Linked DNA regions of Rhinolophus ferrumequinum. The protein of the gene in region 1 interacts with the protein of each later gene in a biochemical or structural test. Links are inferred from orthologs where the notes say so. Each region holds a gene or a part of one and is shown on either strand. Other genes may lie near its edges.

Region 1 (7,997 bases):
TTTAATGTGATAATGTCTATAAAAAATGGCTATTGCACTAAGTCAGAGCTCCCTAAATGTTAGGTGCTAATACAATTTTATTACTACCACCTCAGGAGCACTAAATATTCATTACAGAGTGGGTGAGGGAGAGAGGTCTCTAGCTTCATGTTGAATTAAAAGTTAGCATACAATCCTATACTTGTATGTGCATAAATTCATACCTTGCACAACAACCAAACAAAATGCTTTTTTTGATGTAAAACAAACAAACAAACAAACATGAAGCATTTGTAATAAGTTTTTTACATACTGGTCACAGCAAGAATCTGCCATTTTCTTTGCTACTGTTCTCATCACAAAGGAATATCATTACCCTTATAGTCACAGAGGAGATGAATAATGGAGGGAAGGACGTTGGAGATTTCGGCACTTTCTCTTCCAACACTTTATGCTCATTTACAAAAGCAGCAATGTGTCAGCATGCTCAGCTGGATGGATTTATTGCCTTTTCTAATTCAGGTCAAGTTCCCAGTTATGGTCAGATGGACATAAACTCCTAGCAGCTACGGTGCTGGCCGTAGTTCTGGTCATTTATTCAGCCAGCACCTATTACCAGGCACGGTGCTATAATTGGAAGAAAAATGACTTTGTCATATTGAGTTCCTAACACTTGAAGACTGCAAGTAGTTTAATGAATGGTTTAATCTTATTTATTCCACACAATTATAACCGGCAGCTATTCATAATTGCCTGCTTTGCAGATGAAGCATTTGAAGCCAGAGTTGAAACTGCACAGTTAGAAGGTGGTGGGAGCTTTTACCTCGCCGTCTTCTGTGGATTTGAATTAAGCTACTTAATGTCTGGGTCCTCACCAAAGAATGACTGCTATGGAAGAGTGGAACAGAAGTGTGAGCTTTCTAGCAAAATATGTGTAGGAGTAGATAGTGCAAGCCCTGATAAAGGTGAATGAGCAGGACCACGCCTCAACCAACATCGATGAAATTTGTGCCATGAATATTGTACGCAAAGCTGGGTCACTGTCATTCTTCTCAGTTTTCTTTGTAACCAGTCTGTAACCGTGCAGCAGAACTGTTCTCTGTTCAAAGCAAACTGAAGCCCAACCCCTGGGCCCTGAGACCCAGAAGTTGCTTTGACCAATGGGGCTAAATGAATACGGACAAATACTCAGAGAATCCACAGATAATAATATAAACGTGTTCAGCAGGCACCCAGTGTGAACATTTCTATTTAGAGTGAGTATTAGGAGGAAGGTAGAGGGTTCCTAGCTCTAAATCCCAAACTGAATGAAAGACACAGAGTTAATTGAAAGACTGTTTCAATTAACTGTTTAGCTTTGTTCTTGCTGCAAGTTTAAGACATATGAGTTTATCCCTTTCCTTGACTGTCACAAGCAATAAAACAAAACAAATATCTCTAAGGGGCTAGAAAAATATCCTGCTAGTAAATACAAGCTTTACATTCATATTCAACATTTTGCTTTTCTTTTCTACATATCACATCTCTGATATTTACATTGCTTTTGTTCATAATTTCTTCGACAATCTAACAACCACTATAGTATTTTGTCTAACCTCTGGAATATTATTCCCACGCACGCCAAGGCCTGGTGGGCAGTCTTCAGAGGATATTAACAAAATCGCAACAAACATTTGCATTTAAGAAATAGGAAAGAATTTTATAGAGTAGAAATTGGCTCTGAACCCTAGGTCTCAGAAGTTCCCATCCAATTTCTTTTCTTTCTTTTTTTTTCGGCTCTCTGGGTTTTAAGATAAAATTCAAATATTTCTACTTCATATTCATAAGTTCACTCTCAACATTAACATATATTATATGCTAATATAATATAGATATACACATATATGTATATGGATATCTATATGGATATAGATATACACACATTCAAAACGCGATGATTTTCCCAGCAACCTTCTGCTTGGAGTTGCTCTGCAAGCTTATTAGATCTGGCCTATAAATCCAATAGAAACCTGGCACCTTTAGACGGGAATCAGCGCCATGACCCCAAGTCTTGATAAAGCCCAACTCGTTGGCTTTATGGGCATGTCTAAGAGAACAAAAAATGGTTACCCTCTTGACAAAGCATGAAACTTAACAACTTAGCGCACATTTCCTGAAGCGTGTGGCATCCCTCTAACCAAAATGAAAGTATCCTGCCCTGCCTTTTGTGACTGCCACATCATTTCTCAAGGATCACACCGCTCTATAGGGGGAAGGCGTTCACATACACACCCTCCTGCTGCAAAAAGTGACCAATCGTTTTTTCACAGAGAGGCAAACGAAGGCAGCAGGACTGAAAAGAACTTGCCTAAAATCACAGGGCAATTGAAAAACAGGGTGTCTCACTTTTGTATTGCTAGATTGCGTAGCTTTTCAGAAAACTTGACTGCTTTCAGGAAACAAATAAGAGCTTATTCATATGGCTTAGTTCCAACTCACATAAATTATGGCACCAAAGTTTAAGAAAACAGGTAGTGTGTTCAGGCTAGCCCGCCATCAGTCCAATTAATAACTTTCAAATTCCGACACATTTCAACAATGCAGTTTCTCACAGCTAGAGCTGGATCCAATAAATACACATTATCTGGGGCGGGCAGGCAGCCTGTCAGTGCTGTGCTAAGGATAGTCATGTTGCCCTCTGAATCAGCTGACTATTACTCCAAAAGTGAATTTCCACTGTACCAAGCTTAGACTTAACATTTTAATGTCGTAGCCATACTTGTCAGCAACTTTGCAAAATATCCCTGGAGCGTTAAGCGAAAAAGGAACATCCTTTCACATGAGAGGGAAACTCTAAAGTTACCTCATGCTTGTAAATAGTAGCACAGATAGCCAAAAGGAAAAATAAATAAATTGAAAGAGAAGAAACAGGAGTACCTACTTGAAGAGAAGAATGTCACTCAAAGACTGTCTTCTTATGCTATAGAATGAGCAAGAGAAAGGACAGTAACCTTTCGAGCCCATTAAGAAGCTTCTGAGCATGGAGCCTGCATTTTCAGTTTTGGTGCAATCGGCTCTGAGGCAGGAGGCAGGAGGCTATGACCATGAAATTAGGAAATGCAGTAACTCAAAACTAAAGAACTAGCACCACCATTTGACTAGGAGTGGAAAATCTCCTGTACAAAGTAGAGGAGGGGGTGGCCTTCCTTTCTCCACACCAGGCCCGATTCTAACTTTCTGAGCACTTCGATCAAGGCAGATGTTTAACAAGGGGTAAGGAGTCTGTTTAATCTGCCTGAACTATTTTTCCGTAATCCAGCTGATTTTCTCTTTGCTACTAATAAAGCTTGAAGTCTAGACGGGCATGTCCAGTAGGAAAAAATAAATAAAGCCTTCACTCAGCACATAAATTTTGTTAATCCAAAATTAGTCACAGCTAAGAGCAGGAGGGAGGACGTGTCTTCTGTGAGCATTTTCGTAACATTCTCGTTCAGCCATTGACTCAACAACCTGTATTTCTCGTCACTGATTAATTAGGTTCTTGACTTTTAACCTGCAGAGGCTTAGCTTCTCCCTGACGCTGAAGCCATTCCTTCTATCAGACGATATTTCCATAAACTGTCTGGCATTTCCTGCAGCCATTTAAGAGTTTGTGGGTGTTTTGTTTTGTTTACCCTGAGATAAACATTCAGAAGTAGAAAATGGGCTAAAAAATAAAATTGAAATTTCTTAAAATAATATTGAAATGTTAATACCTGATAAAGTCTGCAGTGGTTTATGTAGTATGTGTTGTAAAGGATTTTTTTTTTTTTAATATATTAGATTTTTTTCTACTCTACAAAGCATAGGAAAGGCTAGTTTTCTGGAGGTGAGAATGGTTGAAGAGAAGGTAAAGGGGGATGTTTCTCTGGCTGCTGGGTCCTAGAATCTCCAAGTTCAGGTTTACATCTGTAGGGCAAGAGGTGAATCTCAAAATCGGCTTAGAAAAAAAAAAAATCAAAAATCTCAGAATCAACGCTTTTGAAACAGTTTGAAATAAAAATATCTTAACTGTCTTCAGTCTTCTCTGTATTAGTAAGTTTACCCATAAAATAATTTGAATATATGAATTTGTCTGAGATTAATTTGCACAGGATATGTAGAGCAGGACACGTTTTAGCTAATAGATAAAGGATTTAATTTTAAATTAAGAAACATGAAATTTCAACAAGATTCACTTACTAAAAGAACAATCATGCTCTGGGTGGTGAACACACAATGGGATTTATAGATGGTGTAATACAGAATTATACACCTGAAATCTATGTCACTTTACTAACAATTGTCACCCCAATAAACTTTAATTAAAAAAAAAAAACAATCACGTAATGTATTATGGTAGTTTTACTACATTATTATTTTTATTATGATTTCTGACAAGGTAAATTCTTCAATAAAATGTTTTGAACAGTTTAAATATTTTGAAAGCAAAATATTTTTTTCTAAATTAATTAAATCCTTCAATTTTTTTTTTTTTTGCCAGAATGGATGAACTGCACTTTTCAAACAGCACTTAGCTACCTGTTAAAATCAGTTGCACACATCAATACAGAGGAGAAAATTACTTAGAGCAACAGTTCTCAAAATAGGACATCCGGTAGATTCTGGACTGAAGGTTATAGATTTTTTTTTTCACTAGAAAATATAACTGAATAATATAAAAGTTATATAAAATATAAATTGAATTAATTATCCTTAAAAGACTATTAGTGACATTCATTTGCATTCCAATATGTGCTTTCTGAAGTGGGAGAGAGAAAAAAATAATAGCAAATGTCTTCTGGGCACACACTAGAAGTCAGATATTATTCTAACCCGATGAAGTACTATTGTAAAGTACTCATTTTACAAATGAGGAAACCATGGGATACCAAGATTAAGTACTTATACCTACATTTCACAGCTGGAGTGAACTGGACTCGAGCACTCAAGATTTTAACACTGCACTGCAGAATCAGAACCACTAAATGAGAACGTACTATGAGGACACACGTGTTTTACATGTCTTCATGGGAAGAAAAAGTGGAAAGGTTATCAGTGAATGGGTAATAACCGTTTCTACAGATTGATACCAAAAAGTGTTTATTAATCATCTTATTCTAATGAAATCATTAAAAATTAAAGTGTCTCCTTGGGCTAACATTGTTTTAAAATATTCTGTGCATTCTTATAGAAAACAAAATCTCCTCTGAGGTAAAGTTTCTAATTAAATTGCATTCACCATTATAAATAAACTGAATAATGGAAAACAAATAAGAAAAGACCAATTTAAGTAAAGCAATGCAATACAATGCTAGAAATATTTCCAGGTTCCAACCTTTTTTAATACGTCCTCTCATTCCAGAAGTAACCATTAAAAGCCTGGTCTCCACAAACAAAGTAAAGCAGAAAATTGGTGCAATCTCTCTGTGTCACTCAGGCAAAATCTTGCTGTGATCTGGGTGATTCGGGTTAAAATAAAACTCAGGTTTTTGATTTGGAGTGTGTGTTTTTGTCGGACACCCAGATGATAGAAGAGTTTGGGACTCGATTACATAGTTAATGGCACAAATTCTTCATTTGTCCTTATTAGCAGAGATGTGGAAAATTGGAAATGGAAATTGAGAACTGCGCTAAACACTATCCAGATTCCATCACATTATAGAAGCAGCTCTGACTTCTAGTTTTTCTCATGATGAGCAATCAAAATTGAAACTCTGCTTGCCTTGAGGTATCAGTCAGTACCTGAGCACCCACTCACTCATCTTTCTAAGAGAAATTGCCCTGCCCTAGGCTCCTGTTGCCTAGACAACCAAGTCACATCAGCCCCCCTCAGATCACAGCTAATTGGGCCAGAGACAAACATCTGACCAAGATAGGCCAGTGACCAAGGACATAACCTAATGGGAAAAGATGAATTTGACCAATCACATTCAGATTCACAGGAGTATGAATTTTGGAAACCTAGACTGAGCTAGTGAAACACACAGGGAGGAAGGAAGTCTTGGGGTAGAGTGCAGGTCATAGTAAGCAAATGCCCTTAGAAACTGAAGTTACGCAGGGACAGAGAAACCCAACGAGCCAAGACGAACAAATATGGGGCCCTGGGTCCATGAGCACGTGGCATGGTCTGGATACAGCTGCCCTGGTCACTGGCAGGGTTGTGGACGTCACACAGATTCTTCCAGAACCTTTATTACTAGGTATTTAAGGGAGTCTCTGGCCCTTGCCATCAAAAGAGTATAACTAAAATACTCATCCCAGATCACAGGTGTTAGTTTTTGTAGCAAAAAGCACAAAATCCAGCAGTTCTGTTTTAAGTGTACAAGACCAAGGTATTTGAAAATAGCCTTAATATGACCAATACCTGATGACTGGACTGTCATTTACTTAATGTTGAAGCTATCTGGTTGAAGCTTATAGGGATAAAAGTAGTCTTTCTGAGAGAGAGAGAGAGAGAGAGAGAGAGAGAGAGAGAGAGAGAGAGAGAGAGAGAGAGAGAGAAAGAGAGAAAGGGAGGAAGGGAGGAAGGAAGAAAAAAGGAAGGAAGGAAGGAAGGAAGGAAGGAAGGAAGGAAGGAAGGAAGGAAGGAAGGAAGGAAGGAAGGAAGGAAGAAAGAAAGAAAGAAAGAAAGAAAGAAAGAAAGAAAGAAAGAAAGAAAGAAAGAAAGAAAGAAAGAAAGAAAGAAAGAAAGAAAGAAAGAAAGAAAGAAAGAAAGAAAGAAAGAAAGAAAGACAAAGAAAAAGGTCTATCTCCTTTGATATAACAAGGTCAGGCAGAAAATTCTTTTGCAAAAAGAATAAATTCAGTTAAACCTTACACTTCATTTACAGAAAGGCCTTTAAAATCTGCCTTCATAAATTGCATGCCTTTTCTGTGTATAGAAAAAGATGTCTATCAAGTCATGAACATCCATGCGAGGATACAGTTATTGAAAAAATTGTTAGGAAAATAAATGGGCTTTCATATTTATAGAGGTGACAAAGGAAATAACATGTGAAGAATACAATGATCTAAAATGAAAAAGCTATTTACCCTGCTGAGCAAAGAACAGAGCTCTCTGACCCTTTCTACTCCCCTGAGACCCTGCCCCTCTGTCCCCCCCAAACCCCTGTCGCTCACCACCACTCCTACCCCATCAGTCTTGCTCTGCAGATACCCAAATGCACATACTTCTCGGTGGGAAGCAGGGTCTCAACTAGAATTCAAAGAGGGGTGGCCCTTCCAGTAGTCTATTTTCATGGATGACTAAGGTGTACTTCTAAGGGGAAAACTTTACAAATCTCATCCAAGGCCAAGGAGCCAGTGCCAGAGAAAAATGATTTTAAATACACCACGGAATTTATCCTGAGTCCTTCAACTGCCCACCTTGCACAAACACTGGAATCATAATGAAAGGAGAAGTTGCTATAAAAGGCAGAGGAAAACAAAAATCTCTGTAAGACACTGAAAACAAAGGGAAGCTTTGACTCCTAAACCAGATAATAAGTAGGAGTGAAGCGTACTCCCCACTTGATGATATGGCCACCTTCGCCTGCCCGTGTTGGCGCCTCTGATTGACACCAGTAGCAACAGCCTTGGATGACATTGGTGGCTTCAGCAGGCCCTGCAGTGAGGCTCAGCACCTGTGACAATTTCTGCGGCGTTTGCTTATTCACCTGGCACCACCGGAAGGAAAAATTTGAAAGGACTGCAGGTTGTAAAACAGTTGACGGAGAGCAGGGTGAGAAAAATATTATTTTGTTATTGCTTTTTTTTTTAACTAAAGTTTATTGGGGTGATCATTGTTAGCAAAGTTACAGATTTCAGGTGTACAATTCTGTAATACGACATCTACATGTCACATTGTGTGTTCACCACCCAGAGTCAGGTCTCCTTCCATCACCATATATTTGTTCCCTTTTACCCTCATCTACCACCCCCCTCCCTTGTTATTGCTATTTTTATCCTATTGTTTTTCCTGGGCTGGTATATTCTAGGGAACTAGGGATTAGAGGAACTTCAGACTCTGCCCCCCAAAT
Region 2 (7,235 bases), on another chromosome or scaffold:
ACCCAAACAGTGTTCCTTCCCTTGCCTTCTACCATATTCTCCATCCACAATAAACGGTACTAGCACAAAAAAGAGGTCTCTACTAAGGAGAATACCAGAATGAAGGGAGGAAGAACCTACACTTGCACAAACTCATTCATGGTTCTCTGGTTTGAATACTGAATTGTAAATCAAATACCTAATCTCTTCGCTATCAGCTCCTTAGCCAATGCATTACAAATCACACACGCAATTTAAAGCGCTCCTCAAAATTGATAGTATTCATAGACAAGAAAGATATGGCCTAAAACTTCATGGACCACCTACCCACCCACTCCTGTTTGTAGAATTAGTGAAAATTAATAGAATATGAAGAATTATCAGTTCATGCAGAAAAAGGCCATCATCACATTAGAACTATATTACGTCAGCATAACTCTTAGAGTATAATCTTACTCTTCTTTTGATCCAGCACCATGTTAAGACAGTGAAAATACAAAGGAACCAGGTCCCCTGCAAGACATTATAAAGAGCCATCAATAGTCTCTAAATTATACTCTAAATACAATTAAAATGATCAAGCATTGTTATTAATGCTGTGGATTAACATAAATGAAGCTTAGAGAGGAGTCAAATAATTATTTAAAAATCCTTTGTAGATATATGTAAAGATAGAACATGAACTGTAGGGAAACTTAACCACCAGCAAAAAAAAAAAAAAAAAAAGTAGAAAAACTCAAAGAAATAGGTATGATGTAACTAGTCCCTAACATGGCTCTAAGAAAAGAAAGTTTGACCAGACAACAAAGACTTCCAACCTGAAAACCATTTACTGTCTTTTCACTGAGCACAGTACATTTCCATCCTGTGTCCTCATTTCCCAAAATGCAGCAGGCTACTAAAAGTCCACAGTACATCTATGATCTTTCTTTTGATATAACAGAGTAAAAGGAGACTTGAAAAAAAATACATCTTCTAATTTAATTATAATGTGTGGAACATGGGATCAATAAGTGGAAGAATTTTTCACAAACAAAAAAGAAATCTACAAAGTGAAGAAGCAGGCTGCCAAAGGACAACAAACAAAATCCACTGTTTCATTAGCAAGGATTCTGCACAAATACTTGCTATTTTCTGCTTACAGATTAAAGCTGATATTGATCAGCTAATGAAAATGTGGTCAAGAGATTATCATTCTGGTTACTGTTGTTCAAAAAACAAAACAAAATAGATCAACCCCACCCACACTGCTGGAAAAAAGCTTCTGACATGAACTGAACTTGTTTAGCCAGGCCACCTCTTAATAAGAGAAATGCTCTGCAACTTGACTAGGGTTATATAAGTATTTTGCAACGTGTTACCAGTATAAAATCTTGTTTATTTACTCCCCAGTTAACAGATAGAGGTTATTTTCCTACAAGGCCATAATACCACGTTTCCCCAAAAATAAGACCTAGCCGGACCATCAGCTCTAATGTATCTTTTGGAGCAAAAATTAATATATGGTAATAGCATCTTTCCAATTTGATTCCATCACTCAGCACTTCCTGCACTGGAATTTCAGCCATTAATTTTATCTCCTTTTCCTCTAAAAAATTTTTTTAAAGATTTTAAAATATGATATTGACCTTCTTTAAATATCTCTGTTCCCAGATACATGGTGGGAAAAACTAAATTTCAGTGATTCAAGTGTAATAGCAAAATCTGGGTATTGCAAAATAATACTGACTTTCAGAGCCATGAAAGAAATCTAAATTTCAGCGTGGAAACAGCATTGAATCCCTTCCACTGCAGTATTTTCAACAAATTCACCTCTACTGCTTGCTCTTTTTTCTTTTTTTTTTTTTTAAGTCTATCAAAGATAGGAATTTCTAGGAAGGGATTTTATTTTGCAGGAGAATGGCCAAAGTCAGCAAGGCAAACTAAGACGCCTAAAATGAAATACTTCCTAGGGAAACATAACTACAATATAGTGGAAAGAGGACTAGGAATTTGAAGACCTATCTGTCTAAACCTGCTGCACTACTCCCCACTCCATCTCTTAGACTCGACTGGTTGTCTTTTTTTGTTGTTTTTTGTTTTTTAATGTCCAAGCTCCCTCTTGTGAAGAAATGACCATTGAGAAATGGCATGGAACTGAACTTGTCTCGATCCACACCTAACAGTATTTAAACTTGGGGTTCTGGATGCATGCTTGCTGTTGGCAAGATCTGCCCTGAACCTCAACCACTTCACAAACCTCTGCCTTCAGCAGCCAGACCCTAGAGGCACCTCTTCAAGCAGAAACGCAAGTTTCAAAGAACAGCCCGGGGGCTGGGGTGTAGGGGGACGTGGAGGTACAGCCTAGAAAAACTGGGAGAATATACCGGTATTGAAAGATTTTTTTTAACAGACATGAAAATCTAAACGTTTAAACATGTGGAAGTACCACCTTAACTAAACAGCAACGTGGTCCAGTGTTTATCAATCCAAACTACTTTTAAAGGAAACCAAGACCCTCTGCCCACAGTCACTGGGCATCACGCAGCTCCAGTGGGCAGAGGGTTGAAAGGGGACCACACGGCACACCAGGACGCGGCCGGAGGAGTGCAGGCCGGCCAGCCCCGTGCGGGCAGCAACTCCAGCAGAACTCGGGGAACCGAACCCTCAACTCCCACCACCGGCTCCCTCCCTCCACCTCGGGTCTCCCCAGGTCCCCAGGGCTGGGCCCCTCCCCCAGGTCACTCCCCTCCCCCACCGCCCCCTCGTCGCCCCCGCGCGTCCCAGCGCCCTCAGCCCCAACTTCGGCCCCTCAGCCCTGGGTCTCCTCAGCTGCCAACCCTTTCAGCCCCTCCTCCTTTAGAGGCGCCCCAGTCCTCCGTCTCCTCACCGGGGTTAGCAGTAGTTGCCGCCATGGCCGTAGGTGCCACCGCCGAGGCAGCCCTCCCCCGAGTGGGAGGAGCCGCCGTCACCGAACTGGTGGGGAGCAAGAGCGGAGAACCACTCCCCAGACGCGGCGCCCTACAGCCGCCACTGCTACCGCGGAATCCAAGATGGCGGCCGCGGCAACCCCCACCGTCCCCAGACCCTAAGGCGGAGAGACCCCGCCCACATAGGGGCGGAGTCAGCCCCAAGGCCGGCCTCCTTGGGGAAACCGACCAATGGAAACGCCAAATCGACCAGAGGCAGAGTTGGCTACTCAGGCAGCGGGTCCAGTGGAGGAGGGAGGGCGAGGAAGAAGTCAGCTGTCTCCCTAATCCCACCTCCTGTGCGTCAGAGGTCAGTGATGAGTGACGTCAGTGAAAAACTATTTTACTAAAAAGCTTCCTTTGGTGGTGGATTCGCCCGGTTGGCCACTCTCCAGACGATTGGTTTCGTAAACCCTCTTTAGGGTGCTCTAATGCTTAAACTTCACGTGGTGATTTGTAATCCTTTCTATAGTTTTCCCTCTTTTAACACCTTTGTCCCTGGTGAAAAAAGTTCAATAACTAATTTTTGAATGTCTGCTATAGAACTGGTAGTACAAGAGAATCTGGGCGCTTACGGTCTACAAAAGGAGACATCGACAGCCAAAACCAGGAGGCAATATATGAAGAAAGTGTTTTGATTGAGTGCAATAACTTCCTTTGGTCAAAAATAGAGATGTAGTAATGGAGTTTTAATAGGGAAGTGATAAGATGAGAACTGCACAAATTATTTTCTAATAATATAGGAATCATTGAGCACTTTGGGAGAGGCACTGTCTAAACTGCTTTATATGTTGTAATCCTCACAACATTGTGAGGTCAATACTATTACTGTATCATTTCCACATTGCAGATAAGGGAACAAAAGCAGAAGTTAAGCAGGGAACATCCAGCTAGTTAGTGGTGTGGAAGGCAAACCAAAGGCGTCTGATTCTGGGAACACATTACACCCATTCCCGTTTTAGCACTATAAGATATTACCTTCTCAGATGTCTTTCACAAACTGTTTAATATAAATTTAATTAGAATTTTAACAGAATTCCCATTATGCTGTTGTGCATCTTTGCATTTTATAGATTATATGTGTACTACAAAGATTACATTGATTCATTTCTCTGAGTTCACAGTATAGTTTAACCTCAGCAGAAGTAGTATAACATAATTTGTATATTATTGTTTACATTTGTTAGAATTAAAGTTTTATTTGTTACCATTTTGTTGTGTTGCATTTCCAATTCACCAACACTGAGAAAAATCATCCACTCAGAAGAAGTACATTGAAGCATAAGAAGTAGGGAAAAAAGTAACAAGTACTTCAGGTCAAAGTTAGGTGGTAAAGGTAGCTAGTTGTGCAGATATAGAATGTGAATTATTATGTACCTTTAAATGTGGTAAGTTCATCCAAGCAACAAAAAAATAAAAATATAAATAGGAAGTACAACTATGAATATCTGAAAATTGGATTTTATTGGGCCAGCAATCCATTTGTCCCTTGCCCACTACACCTTGACTGTTAGAAAATTTTGTCAGTTATTCAAAAAGCCATCCAAGCTTTCAAATCATTTTTGAACCAGATACAATAATAACCTTGCTGCCAAGTAAAATGTATTTTTCCAGAGTAAATGCAAAACAATGTTTTCCAGTATGAATAGGTGAATGTGTAGATAAAAAAGATCCAAGTTACACACTTCATTTAAAAAAAATGGTGAAAGTCATTTTGTTTCAGAGATGCTTGTATACCTAGCTACAAAGTTAATAAAGAATGTTTTGCTTGGAGAAAGCATAACAAGCTATTGGCCAAAAAAATCCCTAATTAAATATCACAAAGAAATAATCATGGTATACAATACGAAAAGACAATATCAGCCCTGTACTTACTAACAGATGATTACCTTCAAAGCAGACACCGTTGGTATCTACACTATGAATCATTGCACAGCATATACTCGTGTGCAGTACCTAAGGAAAAATGCCCAGAAACTTCCTATTTGGTTTATCATTTAAAATTCAAGTTACAGAAGAAGATATTTTTATTTAGAAAAAAACTGTCATTTAAAAAAGAATTATTTTGTGAGGTATGAGAAAGTCTGGAAAAGGTATCTTAGGATCAAAACTGATGGAGTTGTAGCTTTGGGTGTAGAAAGGATATTATTCCTACAAGAAATAAAAGGTCGGTCCACTTTCTGTTTTATTCAGAGGAGTATTTCTCCTGATTCTGATTCAGCATAGAACAAAATAGTATAAACTGTAAATATAGTAAAATAGCAGCCAGTAAGCATAATCTTTGAGAAGAAATAGGCAAATGATAGAAGACTACTTTTTCCACAATGAAGTATGGAGGCCAATAATGGGAAAGGTACTTTCACAAGGTTATTAAAACAGACTGGAGTAAAAATCCCTTCTTTACTATACATATAATACTAAAAACACATCTATTTTTTCCAGATAGTAAGTTTGCCCTAACGGTTTATCTGAACAATATTTTCATTATTTTTATTAACCTGAACTTACGACTTCTAGTTCTAAATGCCATGATTTTTAATCTTAAACAAAGTATCGGGATTTTGTAAGAAAACCAGACTGTTAGAGAAATGCCTTGACTGCCAAAAGCTTATTATTTCACAATACATGATAGTTTTCTTCATCAGAGAAAAAAAAAGTCAATGGCGCATTATTGAACATATTTTAAACCACATCCAAATGTTGCAACTGAATGGGGGAAAAACACTTTTCAGAGCCGGATACAACCCATGCAACTGAATACAGCTCCTATTCTCTCCCAAGTTGAAACATTGAACTTTTGAGGTTGCCTTATGCTCTTCTACTTAGGATCTCACAAATTACTGAAAACTGTCTTCAATTAGAAACTCTTCATGATACTAGATCCATGTTAAATCCAATTACAGTAGTCTCCCCTTATCCCCAGTTTTACTTTTCATGGTTTCAGCTACCTGCGGTCACCCGCAGTCCAAAAATACTAAAGGGAAAATTCCACCTCACTACATCTCATCACATAAGCATTCTCATCTCAGATCATCACCAAAAAAAGAAGGGTGAATGCAGTACAACAAAATATTTTGAGAGAGAGGGAGACCACATTCACAAAACTTTTACTGTAGTATGTTGTTATAATTGTTCTGTTTTACTGTTAGTTATTATTGTTAATCTCTTTATAAATTAAATTTTATCATGGGTATGTATATGAGGTATGAGCAAACAATATGGTGAATATTTAAATTTTAAAAATATACATTACAGTGAAAGACACATTGCCATTAATTCCCCTCAAAATACTCCCCCTCACTTCGAACACCCTTATCACATAGTTTCTGCCACTTTTTTTTTTTTAATTTATTGGGGTGACAATTGTTAGTAAAATTACGTAGATTTCAGGTGTACAATTCTGTATTACATCATCTATAAATCCCATTGTGTGTTCACCAGTTTCTGCCTCTTTCTGAAGCAGTTCTGGAAGTCCTCTTTCGTGAGTGTCTTTAGTTGCACTGTTGTGGCTGCCATGATGTCCTGAATCATTTTGACTTTGGGGAAGAGACAGAAGTCACAGCGTGTCAGATCCGGTGAATATGGTGAATGAAGACACACCATAATGTTTTTATTTGACAGAAATTGTCATACCAGAAGCGATGTATGACATGGAGCCTTTCCATTGTGATCACAAAATATGGTGAATGCTGCTGCCAAATGCCATCCAAATGGAAAGACAGGGCTCTTTAATATGGAAGCAGCACATTGAACCTTAGTAACAGTGTGTGACAAGTTTCAACTTGTTCGGTGCAGTCAGTCAGGTGTGAGCTACGGTTGAGAGAAGTTGTGTTGTAAAGTGTGTCGTAAATCATGAATTATGAACAATGCATTAACATGAAATGGGCAAACAGTTTCACCCTCCGTCACGACAACACTCGTGTCACACATCACTTCTGTTATACGGCAATTTCTGTCAAATAAAAACGTTACGGCGTGTCCTCATCCACCTTATTCACCAGACCTGGCACCATGAGATGCCTGGCTCTCCCCCAAAGTCAAAATGACCATGAAAGGTAAACATTTTGAATCGATTCAGGACATAGAGGTAGCCACAGACCGTGCAACTAAAGACGCTCACGAAAGAGGACTTCCAGAACTGCTTCAGAAAGTGGCAAGAACGATGGGATAAGTGTGTTCGAAGCAAGGGGGAGTAATTTGAGGGGGATTAATGGCAATATGTCTTTTACTGTAATAATTTTTTTTTAAATTTAAACATCCACCATATTTTTTACTCACACCTCATGGTTAGGAAAAAACATGGTATAT
Region 3 (7,282 bases), on another chromosome or scaffold:
ACTCACAAGTAATCAGAAAACTAAAATAACAAGGTACCATTTCTAACCTATCAGATTGACTGAAAAAGTCTGATGCTCTCAAGTGTTAGCAAGCACTGTGGACTATTGGCAGATCTGTGAACTGGTAGACCACTTGGGAGAACGATCGATCATTATCTAGTAAAACTGAAACGATACAATCCCTTCCACCCTGCAATGCCATTACTGGGTATACACCCTAGAGCACATGTGCACAAGGAGACATGTACATGGACGGTCATTGCAGCACTCTTTGGAATAGAAAAAACTGGAAACAATGTAAGTGTCCAACAACAGGGAAATACAGAAAATGTGGTGTATACCCAGTGTACACAGACCTATGTATTAATACATATTGTTCCCATAAGGAACACGCTCTAGGAGCACCCTTTAGGACTGAACCAGCTCCACACACACACCAAGGAAAAATCCCCCAAGTAACATTAGTGCAAAAGGCCAGCTGCAGATGACACACAGAATATGATGCCACTTAAGCGATGCCTAGACCTTATGGTCTAAAAGTATAAAAAATGGTGCAGAGCACAAAGATCAATTCATAATTTTCATAGCGTTTGCCTGTGGAGAAAGAGGAAAAATGGGACTGGGGTTGGGGAATAAATGTTATTTATGGTTTAGTGTGTGTGTGTGTGTGTATTCTGAGGCAAACATGACAAAACATTAACAAATTTTCACTTCTGTATAATATGTACTGGGTATTTCCAATATTATTCTGTAAATGTTCCAATATCTTTTATATTTCTCAAAAGAAAAATGAAACAGCTATGGAATTAAAACATTTTATCATTAATTTTAAGAAAGATTAATAAAATGACCCAAATATAAATAAAATTGCTATATATAAAAACTTAAATGAAATTAGATCATTAGAATGAAAAGAAGAAATGTTAAAATTAACATCACAGACATGGAAAGGTTTAATTAAAAAAAAAAAATGTGGGCCAGCACGGTGGCTCAGGCGGTTGGAGCTCCGTGCTCCTAACTCTGAAGGCTGCCGGTTCGATTCCCACATAGGCCAGTGGGCTCTTAACCACAAGGTTGCCAGTTCAATTCCTCGAGTCCCGCAAGGAATGGTGGGCTGCGCCCACTGCAACTAGCAACGACAATTGGACATGGAGCTGAGCTGCGCCCTCCACAACTAAGACTGAAAGGACAACAACTTGACTTGGAAAAAAGTCCTGGAAGTACACACTGTTCCCCAATAAAGTCCTGTACCCCTTCCCCAATAAAAAAAATTAAAAATCTTAAAAAAAAAAAAAGTTACTTGAGTATTCCTTTAGTTTTTAATTTTACCTAATCAACAGTCCTTGAAATTTTACTGCTAACTTGAATGAAGTTCTACGTGTCCCAGGCAGAAAAGCAGCATGAATACATAAATCTTTTCTAAGGTGTTCGACCTGCCTTTAATGGATTATGCCTGGAACTTAATTGAACAACTAAGAAAATGTGCTTGCTTAAACAGCACAGGTACCAAAAACGGAACCCTAGATTCCTAGGAAATGCTTACAATGTGGTTGGTGGCCACGTTCATACACCCAACGAAAGTGCCATCACTGTGGATGATCTCAGCTCTGTAATGTTCATGTTCTCACCACCAGAACTGAACTTACCTGCAATTCACTTCCGGGGCAGTCATCTGATGTTGCCATAGTTCTCTTAGGATGTGCCGCATAGCTGCCACTGTTAATGTTTCATTTTCCTCTCCATTTCTGCTTTAAAAGAGAGAATGAGAAAATGCTTCATTACATTGCATAATAATTAAGCTTCTAAGGTCCGTGATAAAGGTCCTCTACCAAATAGAACTCAAATGTGTTATGTGTAATGAATGGAACAGAAATAAAATTTATAAACCCAATTCTTTACAAAAACAATGGAAAGCATTTAAAATTTATGAACTTCAAAGAAGTATGTGTTTTCTTCACTAGTCTGCAAGGTGTTACTCTTAATCACTGGCTGAAATCTGTTTTCTGTCAGATCACAGGGTTGATTTAAAACAAATCGATGTCAAATCTTTTCTTGGAACCTTATTAGCTTTAATTCCAATTAAACTTCCCTACCTGGAGCTTTAAAGTGTTTCCACTAACAGGAGCCAAGGTTTGCATCTTCCAGAGGCTTTTCCTTCTCATTCTCAATTCTTATTTTTCCAGTGACAGTGTAATCTGCAGTACGTTTTAAGATGTTTTCTCAATTACATAGCAAGTCTGCTTAAAATGAGTGCTTCTTTTGTAAATCAGGACCTAATACTTAATTTTGTGACATCCGTGGTTACAAATACTAATATACATACGTTGCATTTTCATTGTAAAACTGCACTGGAACCAGGATGGGACAGGGCCGGCCAAGGACTGGGAGGGCCGGGTTGATGGGGCGGGGCCAGAGCGGGGCGGGCCAGGTGAGCGGACCGCAAAGAGACGCAGACTCCGTGCACTGTGGGGGGGAGCGACCCCTGGATCACGAGGGGCAGGTGGCCAACGAGATTGGGGTGAAAGTGGAGAGCGTAAAGGGAGGGGCGGGGCGCTGACGCAGCACCGGGAGTAAGCGGGGAAGGGAGTGTGACATCGGCCTAGGGCGGGCGAGGGTTTGACACGCCTGACAAGAGGGCGCGCCGGGAGGTGGGCGTGCCTGGAGGCGTGGCTGCGGAAGGGCGTGGCTGCGGAAAGGGGCGGGGCGCCGAGCTCGCGGGGAAGACACGGGTGGTCTCGGAAGGGGGCGGAGGCCTCGGTCAGCCCGCTCACGCACACGTCGGGCGAGGCCCTCTCACCTGGCATGTCCTGCCTACGTGCGGTTCAGCCGCCCGAGCTGCCCACGGGAAACCTACCTCAGCCGCGTCTGTCCGCTGAGTTTTGCGCGATCCACACAGTCAGCGCGGAGGGGCGGACGGTGCCTACCACGAGCCGGAGCCACAGCCCTCGGCCCGCGCAGGCGCAGTGCGAGCAGGACGTCAGCGGAGGAGGCCCCACCCCGGGGCCGGGGCCCCGCGCATGCGCATGTTACACAAATTCTTCCAGAAAAGAGACGAGTGAATTACTTCCTAACCGGTTCTATGCAGCCAGCATAAACACTGCTATAAAATGTGAGCAAAAACAATCCAGTGATACATAAAGTGATTACGTATCATGACCAAATATGGTTTATATTACATATTATATATTTATATTTAATCAGTTAAATTTGTTATTTAAAAAAACCTCACAAAGAAAATTCCAGCCCTAAATGATTTCACTGGTGAATTCCATCAAATGTATAAGGAAGAAGTAACACCAACACTAAAATTTTAAGAAAATAGGGGCTGGACACATCCCAGTTTGTTTCATGCGCTCCGCTGTCCGGACAAGTGGAGCTACCGTCCTCCGCCCGCGCGGGCGCGAGGCGCTCAGCTCCTTCGCGAAGAGGCCCGGGCCTGGGGCGAGCGCGCCGCGCGGGCGCGTGTCACTTGTCGCGCCGGTGGCCGTTGCGCTAACCCGGGAGCTGAGCACCGGGAGCAGCGCCGGGCCTGGTGTGTGGGCGGGGCAAGGGGACCCGGCGCCGGGGCTGCTTCCCGACTCTGAGACGGGGAGCGAGGCCAGGGGACAGTTGTCGGAAACCCATTTATGGGCGACAGAAATGGCTGTTTTTGGATCAGGACCCCCTTTCTCGTGTTTTTCTTGTACTTCAGTTACCTCACTGCGCTGTGAGGTGTGAACCATTTGTCATTCTTTCCACTTGACAAACGGAAGCAGAGGGATTACGTTTTTATTTCCCCAAGAGGGCGTTGGGAAAGACGTCAGTGCGCGTTAGCGTGGGCTGGTCTCGGAGGGAGGCGGGCGTCAATATCACCGACGCGGCAGCTTGGTGGCGGCGGGGCTGGGGAGAGAGGAGATACTGGTAACTGGAAAGGGCTTGTTTCACAGGATGGAAACGGTTGGACCACAGGGCCAGTGTATTTACTGCACGGAACTCTGTCTACACTTACAAATGGTTAAGGTGGTAAATTTTAGCTTACGGGTCTTCTACCACAATTTTTTTTAAAAGAAGCAGAAGCACGAAGTACCAATATGAGGAATGAAAAAAGAATTCAGTATAGAGATTCCATAGGTTTTTAAAAGACAAACATTACGAAACTTGACAAGTTAGATAAGTTCCACAAATTCCTTGAAAAACACAAATTACCAAAAATGAACAAGAATATTTAGAAAATCTGCATACTATCTGCTAAAGGAATTGACTTCATAATTTAAAACCTTCTTACAAAGAATACTCCAGGCCCAGATGGTGTCACTAGTAAATGGTTCCAAACAAGGAGAAACTAATACCCATGTTACACAAATTCTTCCAGAAAACAGAGAAAAGTGACTTCCTAACCGGTTCTATGCAGCCAATATTAACACTGCTATAAAATGTTAGCAAAAACAATCCAGTGATACATAAAGTGATTACGTATCATGACCAAATATGGTTTATATTATATATTATATATTTATATTTAATCAATTAAATTTGTTATTAAAAAAACCTCACAAAGAAAATTCCAGCCCTAAATGATTTCAATGGTGAATTCCATCAAATGTATAAGGAAGAAGTAACACCAACATTAAAATTTTAAGAAAATAGGGGCTGGACACGTCCCAGTTTGTTAATAAGGCACACATAACTCTAATAAAAATACCTCACAAAAAATAAAGAATAATTAATATTCTTCATAAAAATTGATGCAAAAATCCTTTAGAAAACATTAGGAAATCAAACTTAACAATATATACTGAGGGTGATACATTATGGCCAAGTGGAGTTTATCCCAGTAATGCAAACTTGGACTAACACTTGAAAATTAATACAATTCACCATATTAATAGAATGGGGGAAAATATATAATCATTTCAATAAATTTTAAAAAGGATTTGACAAAATTCAATACCCAATCATTTTAAATCAACAAAAATAGAACATCATCTATCTATTAAAAGGAATCTATCAAAAACCCTAACGCTAAAACCATAATGATGTTATATTGAAACTTTTTATCAGAAACAAAGCAAATGCATCCACTTTCACTTTATTCAACATTTTATAGGCGTTTTGTTCATGGCAAAATTATGCTCAGACACTGACAGTGTCTTTGCCAATAATTTATTTAACATAGGTTCAGTGCAGGAATTACAACTTATAATAATATGTCACAAGCCAATAGCATACAGGATAATATCTCTTAATAAGCCAATAAAGAAATATACTCTAATGATAGATAAGTATATCATTGTTCCAAGCAAAGGGGAGATGAAAGAGATTAAGTCCAGATGTAGCTGAGGTGCACCTCTCTACGAGCTGCTGGTTCTCGGGAGAGCTGGCTCAGCCAATCAAGCGCTGACACCCAGCTGCCAGCGCAAATTGAAAGTCCCTGTTTTTGGAGTGCGATGCTGGTGGAACACAGGCGCCAGTGTTGGCGGGCAGGATGGTCTCCTCCACGGGCCACTGCAGTTTTCACCAGTGCTGGCAGAGAGTAGCCTGGCCATGGCAGGAGCTGGTGCCTCAGAGAGCTACTTAGATGAGCCAAGAGTAGCCTTGCCCAGACTGGACACTCTTGGTACCACAGTTTAAATGTTCATTACATCATAGTCACTCCTCCATGTGTTCATATTAATAAGCACAATAATGCTGATGACATCATCCCGACACAACCCCTCATATAAAGAAATTCACCCTTCGATCAAAATAACTTCACTTAAGGCATAACAAATCATAACAAACCAATACACAGCAACAGGAAATCCTAGCCAGCATACTAGGGCAAGTAGGCAATAAAAAAACCCAACTATCAGAAAGGAAAACATAAACTTATATACTGCTAGAAATTAGGCTTCCAGATTTATACCCCCTTAGCTTTCATTGTCTCTGGTTTGCTTGGTACATTCTTTATTTAAATCTCAGAATAATTAACTCATCCCCACCTCCAGGGTCAGTCTTATTAGAGATGGTTCAATCTCACAGAAGCATTTTTTAAGTCCAGGTGTATGAATCCTTATTAGTTACATAATTTTAAGAATTGATTAGGTTTTGTTGTTGTTCATTTGGTTTAATGTGGTTGAATACTGTGCTGTTCTGGGCCCATAATGGGAGGAAGTTATAAAAATGTGTGATTACAGAGTAAATAAAAAAAATTTGTTCCCATTGAGTAAACCACCAAAGAGGCTCATACAGTGATTTTTAAAACTTTAAACCTGATGTAATTTTATGGCAAATTTCCAAGAGTCCGTGAAAGTGAAAAGCGTTGGTCAGATAGTCTGCAGCAGTCCTACCACAGAGGAAGCCGCGGTTTCCCTTCGTTGGTTCAGTACTTCCTCTCACATTGCACGGAGAGGCAGTTCCCTGGGCAAAAGCCTCATGCATGAAGCCAGCAGGGAAAGGGTGCTCACTGTGCTCCCATGTCCAGCTCCTTCTCAAAACGGAAAAGAAGAAAAAGTGGAAAAACAGAAACAAAAGCCCTGCTGTTTTGAGCTGGGACCTAATACGGCCATGGGTCCAAAGCAAAGCCAGGCAGTTCTGCTCATGCTGGGCTGCCCTTTGGAAGGGAGCAGCGGTCCTGGGACGGCTGCTACAACCAAATGGATTCACAGAACCTGATGTGGCATAAACATAACAACACGCGATACTCCCGCAAAGTTTGCCAAGTTGTACATTAGCCAGTGAGTTCATTCTGTGCTCAGAAAGCGATCTGCCTGTTTTCTTTGTCCACCTTCTGCACCAGGAGTTTACCTGCCAGCTGCAGGTGTTTGGATACACAAGGATAGTCACTTTGATAATAATGACCATTGATCGAGAGCATCGGGCACTGCACACTATACGTACATGCGCACGCGTGCGTGTGTGCGTGCAAAATTTCATTTACTCCTCCAACAGTCCTCAGGGTTCCTCTTTTACAGAGGCTGAGAAAGGTGCAGTCATTTCCCAAGGGTCTCTGGGCAGAGGCAGACTTGAACCCAGCCCCAGGGCTCACCCACGGCCTCCTGCGGTCTGGCAACAGCCTTCTGTAGAACAGGAAAGGCGATTAATTCTCTTCGCCTGGACACTGGCATTTGCTACAACAGAAGCCTTTGTCCCTTCTCCCACGTCCCTTTAGAACACAGGCGTCTTTCTCTCCCTATGGACACGGGTCCCTGTAACCAACCTCGTGAGCAGCTTGGTGGCGGATGGCACTGTCCTTTGTGTGAGAACAACGTTGCTGCCCAAGGCCTTTGCTCCTGGAAACTCAAGCCAGAATGACTCTTCCTGG
Region 4 (7,447 bases), on another chromosome or scaffold:
CTTAAATAGGTTGTATCCATTTCCAAGGACATAAAAGAATGGTGTAAAGTACACACTGTACTTTGAATGCCAAAAAAAAAAAAAAAAGGATTTTTTTTTAAATGGCAAGTGCTTTATCATAGCTCAAGTAGGATCCATAAATGAGCAAGTCACTCAAATACTTAAATTCAAATGTTAAGTAAAATTGGATTTGGCAGGGAATCCCCACTTTGTGACTTAAAAGAATATATATTGAGATTGCAGTGAGGCTCTTTACCTTTTTTAAAAACACTTGGTAAAATAGCATGTATGCCTAGTAATGAGGTGCTAAGTGCTAACTTTACTCTAAAACACACTTTGGAAAAAATAAAATCCTGGCTCCTCCAAGAAACTTAAATACGATGTGAATTACTTAAACTTTTTGACACAATAACCACAAGTATGGCAGTGTATGTAAAACAACCTTGGTGTAACAACTGCGCCAAGATTATGCTGTACATAAAGATTATGATTAATTTTACTATGCTGTACAGTCAGCATGAGAGGTGACGAAGGAGTCTGGCTCAACCAGAGAATCTTAGCATCAATACCTCCACCTGTGCCTGAGAAACTGTCAGCTTTAGGAGGCCTGAAGGCAAATGGACCCTGGGTAACCGTCCCGAGAGCCCGTCCTCTAGAGGGGCCGCAGACCTTCACCTGGAGGTAGGAATGTGACTGCCCCCACCGTCTCTCCGGGTCTCTCTGAATGGCAGAAAAGGCCAGAAGCGCCTCATCTGCAGTCCTGCCGTGAAGGCAGGAGAAGGTCCCTGCCGGGTCCCCAGATGCGCACATCCATTCCAACGCCTCCAAAACACTTATCTCAAAGCCCCCGGCCTTGGCCCTCGGATCTCTACATCTCCGTTTTCGGTAACACTGAGGGGGCAAAGCGAGAGGGTACACACGTACCCAGCCCTGGTCACCCAGAGGAGCCTCGCCGTGCCTAATTAAAGGCCTCGGACCAAGGGCGAGACCAACTTTGGGGGCACTTCCTTGCGTAGAGAAGTGCCCGCCGCAACGCCCGGCAACCGGGCCTTAAGCTGCTCACCGCCAGGACGCGCTGGCCCTTTAAAGGCGCTCGCTTCCTGCACCCTCGGCCCCTCCCTCGCCACCGCCAGCTCCCGCCTCCGCCCCCGCCGAGGGTCACACTTGAACTTTAACTCGCCCGGCACGGCCGGACGCCGCAGCTCTGCTGGCGGTGACCATCCCTTTGCACGTGTTGGATGAGATACCTCGGGCTTGGAGCGCCGGGTCCCCTGAACTCAAGGCCACCACGGATAAAATCAATACAAAGCAAAATGCACACCGGCCTCCAAAAACTGCACGGCCAGCCCCCACGGGCCGGCCCGCGCCCTGCTTCTGCCCTCCACCTGCAGCCCCATCCCCCGCTGTGGGGGTGGGGGGCTCAGATGCCCCTCGCCGTGCCCACCAGGGCCAAGCACAACGGAAACGGCTCCCCGGCTCGGCCCAAGGGGGCGGAAAGGAGCCGGCCTCACCCGCGAGGTCCTGGAGGAAAAGGAGCTGCGGCAGGAGTCCACACCGGCCGTGGGGGAGCACCTCCCAGTGAATCACCTTCTTTTACCGGCGAAATTTTCTGCCCGCTGATGTCACTTCTTGTACTTTTTTCACTCCCTCAGTTTCCAAACGAGCCCGTGCCCCGTCCCACTCCAACTCGCATTTGAGCGCGCGCACACTTATTCCAGTCCCCCAACCCGTCCCAAGCAAGCCCACAACCTATATCTGCCACTTCTCGCCTGCTCCCTGCACGCGCTGCTCGTGTGCCCTGCACTTTCAGGACAAGGAAACTTGCACAGCCACCCCCTCATCTGCCCTACTCCGACCTCAAGTGCCGGCAGAGAAGTCCCTGCGCCCCCTCCTCCATCCGACCATGTGCCCCAAGACCACTCACCTTCCAGCCGGCCGAGCTGTTACTGTCTCCCTTATCCTTGAAGTAGGGCACACTCTTGACCATCCATTCGTAAATCTGCGACAGTGTGAGCCGCTTCTCCGCGGAGCTCTCGATGGCCTTGGTGATGAGGTCTGCGTAGGATAGGTTGCCCCACGCGTTGCGGCGGGACGAACTACTCTTGCGCGGCTGCCCCGCGAGAGGCCCCGCGGCGGCCGGGGGAACAGGCGGGTGCTGCGACAGCGGCCCGGGAGGCGGGGGCTGCGGCGGCGCTGGGTGCAGGCAGCCCGCCTCCGGGCCCTGGAAGTCCCCGCACAGCCCCCCGGTGGCGGCAGCTGCGGCGGCCGCCGCCGCCGCCACCGCGGCCGCCGCCGCGGCCGCCGCCACGGAGCCGGGCGCCTGCTGGAAGTCCCCGCTCTCTTCCAGCAGGCTCAGGTTGCTCATGAAGTCAGCGTTGACAGCAGCCGCCGAGGCCGAGGGCAGGCCTGCCGCGGCGTCGGGGTTGGCGGCCGCGCCGCCCGACGGCGCCGGGCTGGAGGTGGCCGAGTTGGACTGGCTAAACTCCGGCCTGGGCAGCGGCCAGGTGCACGAGCGCGGCCGCGGAAGCGGCTCGAAGTCCGGGTCGATCTCCACCACCTGGGGCGCTTCGGCCATGGTGACCCCCGCCCCTCCCCCAGCCGCGGTAGAGCCCAGGGGTAAAGCGAGGCACTGGGGGCCAAGGAGAAGAGGGCGCGAAGAGCCCGTCCGAGATTGGTGGGGGGTGGGGGCGAAGTCTGTGCCGCCGGCGGATGGAAACCGGGAGGAAGGCGCGGTGTAGTGGCAGCGCGAGCCCAGAACTTAACTTCGCGAGTCCATCAACATCTAGGCTCCTCCGAGTCCGCTGCACCGACGGGACGGCTGACCAGTGTCGCCGGGCCCGGACAGCGCCGGCGCCGCGCTCCTGCTGACAGGGCCCGCGGACCGGAGGACGGACCGACGCCGCGAGCCGCTCGCTCTCCCGGGCGGCGCGACTGCGGTGCTGCTGCCTGTTGAATGTGGCGGCGGCGGCGAAGGCTGCAGCTACTACGCGGCCTCCCGACTTACGGGATCTGCCGCCACCCCCCGCCCGCAGCGGCGCGCACGCCGGCCCGCCCCTGACTAACAGCCCGGGCGGCCAATGAGCGCGCGGCACCGCCGCCCAGGCAGCCAGTGGACGAGGTCCTGGGCGGGGGCCGATTTTCCACCGGGAGGTGGCAGTGAGTTGGTGGGGGGTAGTGGGGTGTTTTTCTCTTTCACACACTCTCTCTTTTTATTTTTATTTTGGATGTCTTATTTTCTGGTAATTCTCAAATGTTTCTGTGAGTCTCTCGCCCGTCTCAGTATTTGATTGCTAGGAGGCAAAAGAGCGTGGAGGCGGCGGCGACACTTTGTTTACTATTGAGGAGCAAAGCCGAGTACTCTGGAAGCACCCGTGGAAGAAGTCGCTCACTTTGTCTCGACCTCCGCTCCGAGCCCAAAGTGGAGTGAAGCTCCACTTTGGGGATGTGGGACACGCAGAGCTCTGGGGGCGCTGGGTGGGTGGGCGGAGACGACCTCGCGGAATTCTACTCAATAAATAGCCCAGCTCTGGGCTCCACCCACGGTTTCTTTGCAAAGAAACGTGGGGCAGTCGGTGGGTTTTGTTTTGGTGTTTTCTTTCTCCGTGATCTTTCAAGTCGTCCTGCCCCGGCCACGGTCGCACAGAGGGCCCCGGGCGCCGGGACCCTGGCGGTCAAATCCGCGCGACGAGCACCCTCCCACCGCCTCCGCGCCCGGAACCCACCTGTCCGCACCCCTTAACTGAGCCTCTGCAGTTCGCTCTAGCCCGGGGCCAGTCGCCCAGCCCGGCAGCCACTATCCGGATTCACTCACTCCATTCTTGACCTAAAAGGCTAGAAATGAGGGGAAAGGGCGCGGCGCAGCGAAATGGTCCTTTTTCACACGCACACGCAGTCCCAAAGGCATCCTAGACCTCGTGCCGTCCGTGGGAACCTCTTCTGGGCAGGAATCGCAAACTATCCACCGAGTCAGTCCAGGGATGGCGGGGAAGGAGTAAGAGGACAGCATTTACACGTAAACTTGTCACTTTAATTCTGACTCTTAAGTTTAACTGTTTGATTTTAATTTCTTTGCTATTTAGAATTAAAACGATGAGTTGTTGAGAAGTAAAAACTCAAGAGTCTTGGGGCACAGTCCTTCCCCACCCCCAGGTTCCTTTAGGCTGCTTGCCTCGTGCGTCAATCAACCCACCCACCCCATCTTTCTCCATCTGGGCTCCAGGTCCAGGACGTCCTGTAGAGATCAGTGAGGCCAAAGGTGGGAAGACAATGGTCCTTGTGTCTCAGGGAGCAGAAGAAACAGTTTTCAAGTTTTGTTTTGCTTTGCATTTTTAGGAGGAATATGGAAGGCATTTCCTTTCAGAGGGATGGGATCACTTAGGATGGAAGATTGACAGGGTTTAAAATATCTTGTCCAAAATGACAGCTCCCAATTCTTTAAAAAAAAAAAAAAACTCATTTTTTTCCAGGTAATTCAATTGAAAAAAAAAAATGACATCTTAAGAAAAGTAGGCCTCTTGTTCGAAAGTTTGAAGACTTAAGAAATTTATTTCTTACTTTACATTTTCACTATTATCTCCCTAGTCCACTTACTCATATTTCTTCATAATCCACTTATCACGACAGTTTCCGAGTGATACTGGGCGTGGGCGTTTGGTGAGCCTGGTGAATTGAGGATAGGGTTGGTTCCCATCCTCTTCTTCTTATGCTCTTTTTTGCGTTTACTGTAAAATTTGGACAATTCGGGCCTTCTCTGCTAGCCGCTAGGGGACCTCAGTAACCCAGATGGTGAGCTCAAAGGAAGGCCCTAATGTCCAACTGTTACTACCCCTCAACCTTTCCAATTACATTATGCAGAGGCAGCCCCCAATCCAGACGGCCGCACCCTACAAATAGGCGGTGCCCTAGTGGATCATTCTTGGCAAAGGAAGCCAGCTGCAAATTTGGCTTTGACTTCAATTCCGGTTTTTCAGGCCCTCAATGGGGGGAGAGTATTTGATTGACTTTTGTTACATACTTTGCCCAAATCCTTGGAATCTTCTGGGCTAGTCTGCCTGATTGTTTCTTTGAATGTCATAGTTTGCTTCATTTTGGTCTTTTATAAAATTTGACTTGAAGCAGGCTCAGAGTCCTACAGCGCCAATGTCCCTGACACATACTCGTAGGTCAAAAAAATTAAAAATATATGTTAAAAGGTGTTTATAGCTTCCTACCATACCTTTGTAGGTATCAATTTACTGAACTGTAGAATACTGGGGAATATTTGTCTTATTTCCAATCTTCAATTATCACAAGCTATTCTGTAATGAATAACCTTATGTAACTCAGTTTGCATCTGTCCAAGTATATCTATAGAAGGAATTTCTGGAAAACAGATCACTGGGTCAGCAGTTAAATGCATTTATAATTTTGAGACACACTGCCAAAATTGCCCTCCATGAGTACTATATCAAGCTACTTGGTGGCCCCCTTTAATTTATAGATAAGGAAATTGAGGCACAGACTACCCAATTGATTTGCCCAAGGCCCTATGGCCCAAGACCAGGGCTAGAGCTTCAATTTCTTGCTCTCCTATCAATAATCTTCTCAATACACAGATGGAAAACTATAAATATTCTGTAATCCCAGTATAGAGATAACCACTATAAAACTGTGATGTGTTCCCAGTCAATCCTACAGATTTAGTCATTTTAGTTAGATGAACTCTACTGAACTGAAGTTTTGATTTAAAAGATTTAAAAAGCAGACACAAAAAGGTTATGGTGATAGTAAGATAATGGAAAAAAAAAGATTACAAAAGAAGTGGGGTTTTTTTAAGTCAAAAATGTAAATAAACATTTTGTCTCTCTTTGAAGGATGCCAAAGTATTTAGGTTGGCACTACCATAGTTCTGCTTTAAAGAAAAAGTTTCATTTCTTTTCTCCTTCAGTATTTTTTGTGATGGCTGTTTGCTTTGAAAACTTTTTCTAATGATTATCAATTATTAGTTGGTGCATGTGTCCAGATTGAGAAGAAAAATTTTTCGTGTCAGGTTATGACAATTAGAATGAAAAAGGAAATTTATTCTCACAGAGCCCATCTCACCAATATGATGTTCTTTTCTCTGCCTGGTTTTCAGAGTAATTATTGCATCATCCTTGACAGGAAGACTGAGAGATGGTTACCTTTGATCAATTCCCAGGCAGAAACTTCTACATTTACCCCTCACCATCAACACACAGATTTCTGGTTTAAATTCTTACTCATAAAAATAGGTAATTTAAGTCCAGTTTAATGAGTAAGTGAAAAGCCTGGATGCTTTTTTTTCCGGTCATGACACCGAGCATCATACTTCACATTCCCTTTCCCCAACAACTGTCCATTTCAATATTGTGTCTGAATTATTTAGAGGTACTACTATCAACCTAAAACAGCCTTTCTTCACTTTGCACATAGAAAATAATAATCTGAAAAAATACAGCTTTGGGTTCTTAAACCAATGTCCTGAAAGCTGGCAGGTAAAGTAGTACCATAGTTAATATCTAATATCAGAAGTAGGCATTCATTTTTCTTGAGAGATAATATCCTTTGGATTTTGTTGTTCATTCAACAAATATTTATAAAGTGCCTACTATGTACATGCCAGATGCTGAACATCTTAGAATACATTGCTTTCATAGCAAACTCCTTGAGGTTATAAATGGTTGATTTTGTTTTCCTTTATATGATATTTGATGTCAAAGTGAAAACTATGTTGTTCTTAAATAATTGGCAATGAACACTGACAATATTTTTTTGGAGGAATTACACACAAAGTATTTCATGGATACAAGGACTGCTAAAGCAGGAAAAAAATTGAAATATTATTATCAGCAGCGTTTGGAAGAAAAATAATAAGATGAGGTAGAGAAACTAAATAATGCACCATCCACAGGGAGTATGAACTCTGGCTACCAAACCTTGGAGTTGGGATAATCTTGCCTGAAATGGATAAAAGACCCAGGCTACGTCAGATTATTTGTCCATCACATATAAAAATGGTGCTTCCTAATCTGTAACGAAGGAGAAGGATTGGGCAAGTCATGAACCAGATATCCCATATTTTCAACTCTGTTATGAATAGCCAATGTTTCTCAGCTTCTATAACCTCCGTTCCTTCACTTGAAGTGTTAGTGAAAGACTACTTGTGGGTTTCTACAGGAATTCTTAAATATATTTGTAGATAATCTAAATAACCAACAATAGAGAATGGCTAAATAAATAATGGCATATCTGTAAGGTAGAATCTTATGTAGTCATTTAAAATAAAGTGGACAAAACATTTGTACATTACAACAATGCTGGTGATACAGTATTTAAAAAGTTGTAAGGTATTACTGTCAGCTCAAAGCGTTTGCTGTGGTTTTATCTGGGGAAAGAATTTATAGGTGATCGTTATTGGTCTAACACAAACTTTCATTTTACAGGTAAG

What was found.
Region 2: the proteins of ESR1 (region 1) and ARNT form a complex in vitro, tested with the Homo sapiens proteins (2 studies listed by BioGRID). The link is inferred for Rhinolophus ferrumequinum from reciprocal best matches to the Homo sapiens genes ESR1 and ARNT.
Region 3: the proteins of ESR1 (region 1) and PRMT2 form a complex in vitro, tested with the Homo sapiens proteins (2 studies listed by BioGRID and IntAct). The link is inferred for Rhinolophus ferrumequinum from reciprocal best matches to the Homo sapiens genes ESR1 and PRMT2.
Region 4: the proteins of ESR1 (region 1) and FOXO1 form a complex in vitro, tested with the Homo sapiens proteins (2 studies listed by BioGRID). The link is inferred for Rhinolophus ferrumequinum from reciprocal best matches to the Homo sapiens genes ESR1 and FOXO1.

What each region holds. Positions count from the first base shown.
Region 1 is NC_046286.1:94,554,694-94,562,690, reverse strand, and holds the start of ESR1 (estrogen receptor), read right to left. Parts: upstream 3,017-7,997; 5' UTR 2,900-3,016; intron 1-2,899.
Region 2 is NC_046305.1:51,032,461-51,039,695, forward strand, and holds the start of ARNT (aryl hydrocarbon receptor nuclear translocator), read right to left. Parts: upstream 3,021-7,235; 5' UTR 2,874-3,020; coding exon 2,849-2,873; intron 1-2,848. UniProt on the Homo sapiens protein: Required for activity of the AHR. Upon ligand binding, AHR translocates into the nucleus, where it heterodimerizes with ARNT and induces transcription by binding to xenobiotic response elements (XRE).
Region 3 is NC_046285.1:109,210,818-109,218,099, reverse strand, and holds the start of PRMT2 (protein arginine N-methyltransferase 2), read right to left. Parts: upstream 3,012-7,282; 5' UTR 2,855-3,011; intron 1,749-2,854; exon of another isoform or gene 1,746-1,748; 5' UTR 1,686-1,745; coding exon 1,647-1,685; intron 1-1,646. UniProt on the Homo sapiens protein: Arginine methyltransferase that methylates the guanidino nitrogens of arginyl residues in proteins such as STAT3, FBL, histone H4. Acts as a coactivator (with NCOA2) of the androgen receptor (AR)-mediated transactivation.
Region 4 is NC_046287.1:85,279,229-85,286,675, forward strand, and holds the start of FOXO1 (forkhead box protein O1), read right to left. Parts: upstream 3,011-7,447; 5' UTR 2,576-3,010; coding exon 1,925-2,575; intron 1-1,924. UniProt on the Homo sapiens protein: Transcription factor that is the main target of insulin signaling and regulates metabolic homeostasis in response to oxidative stress.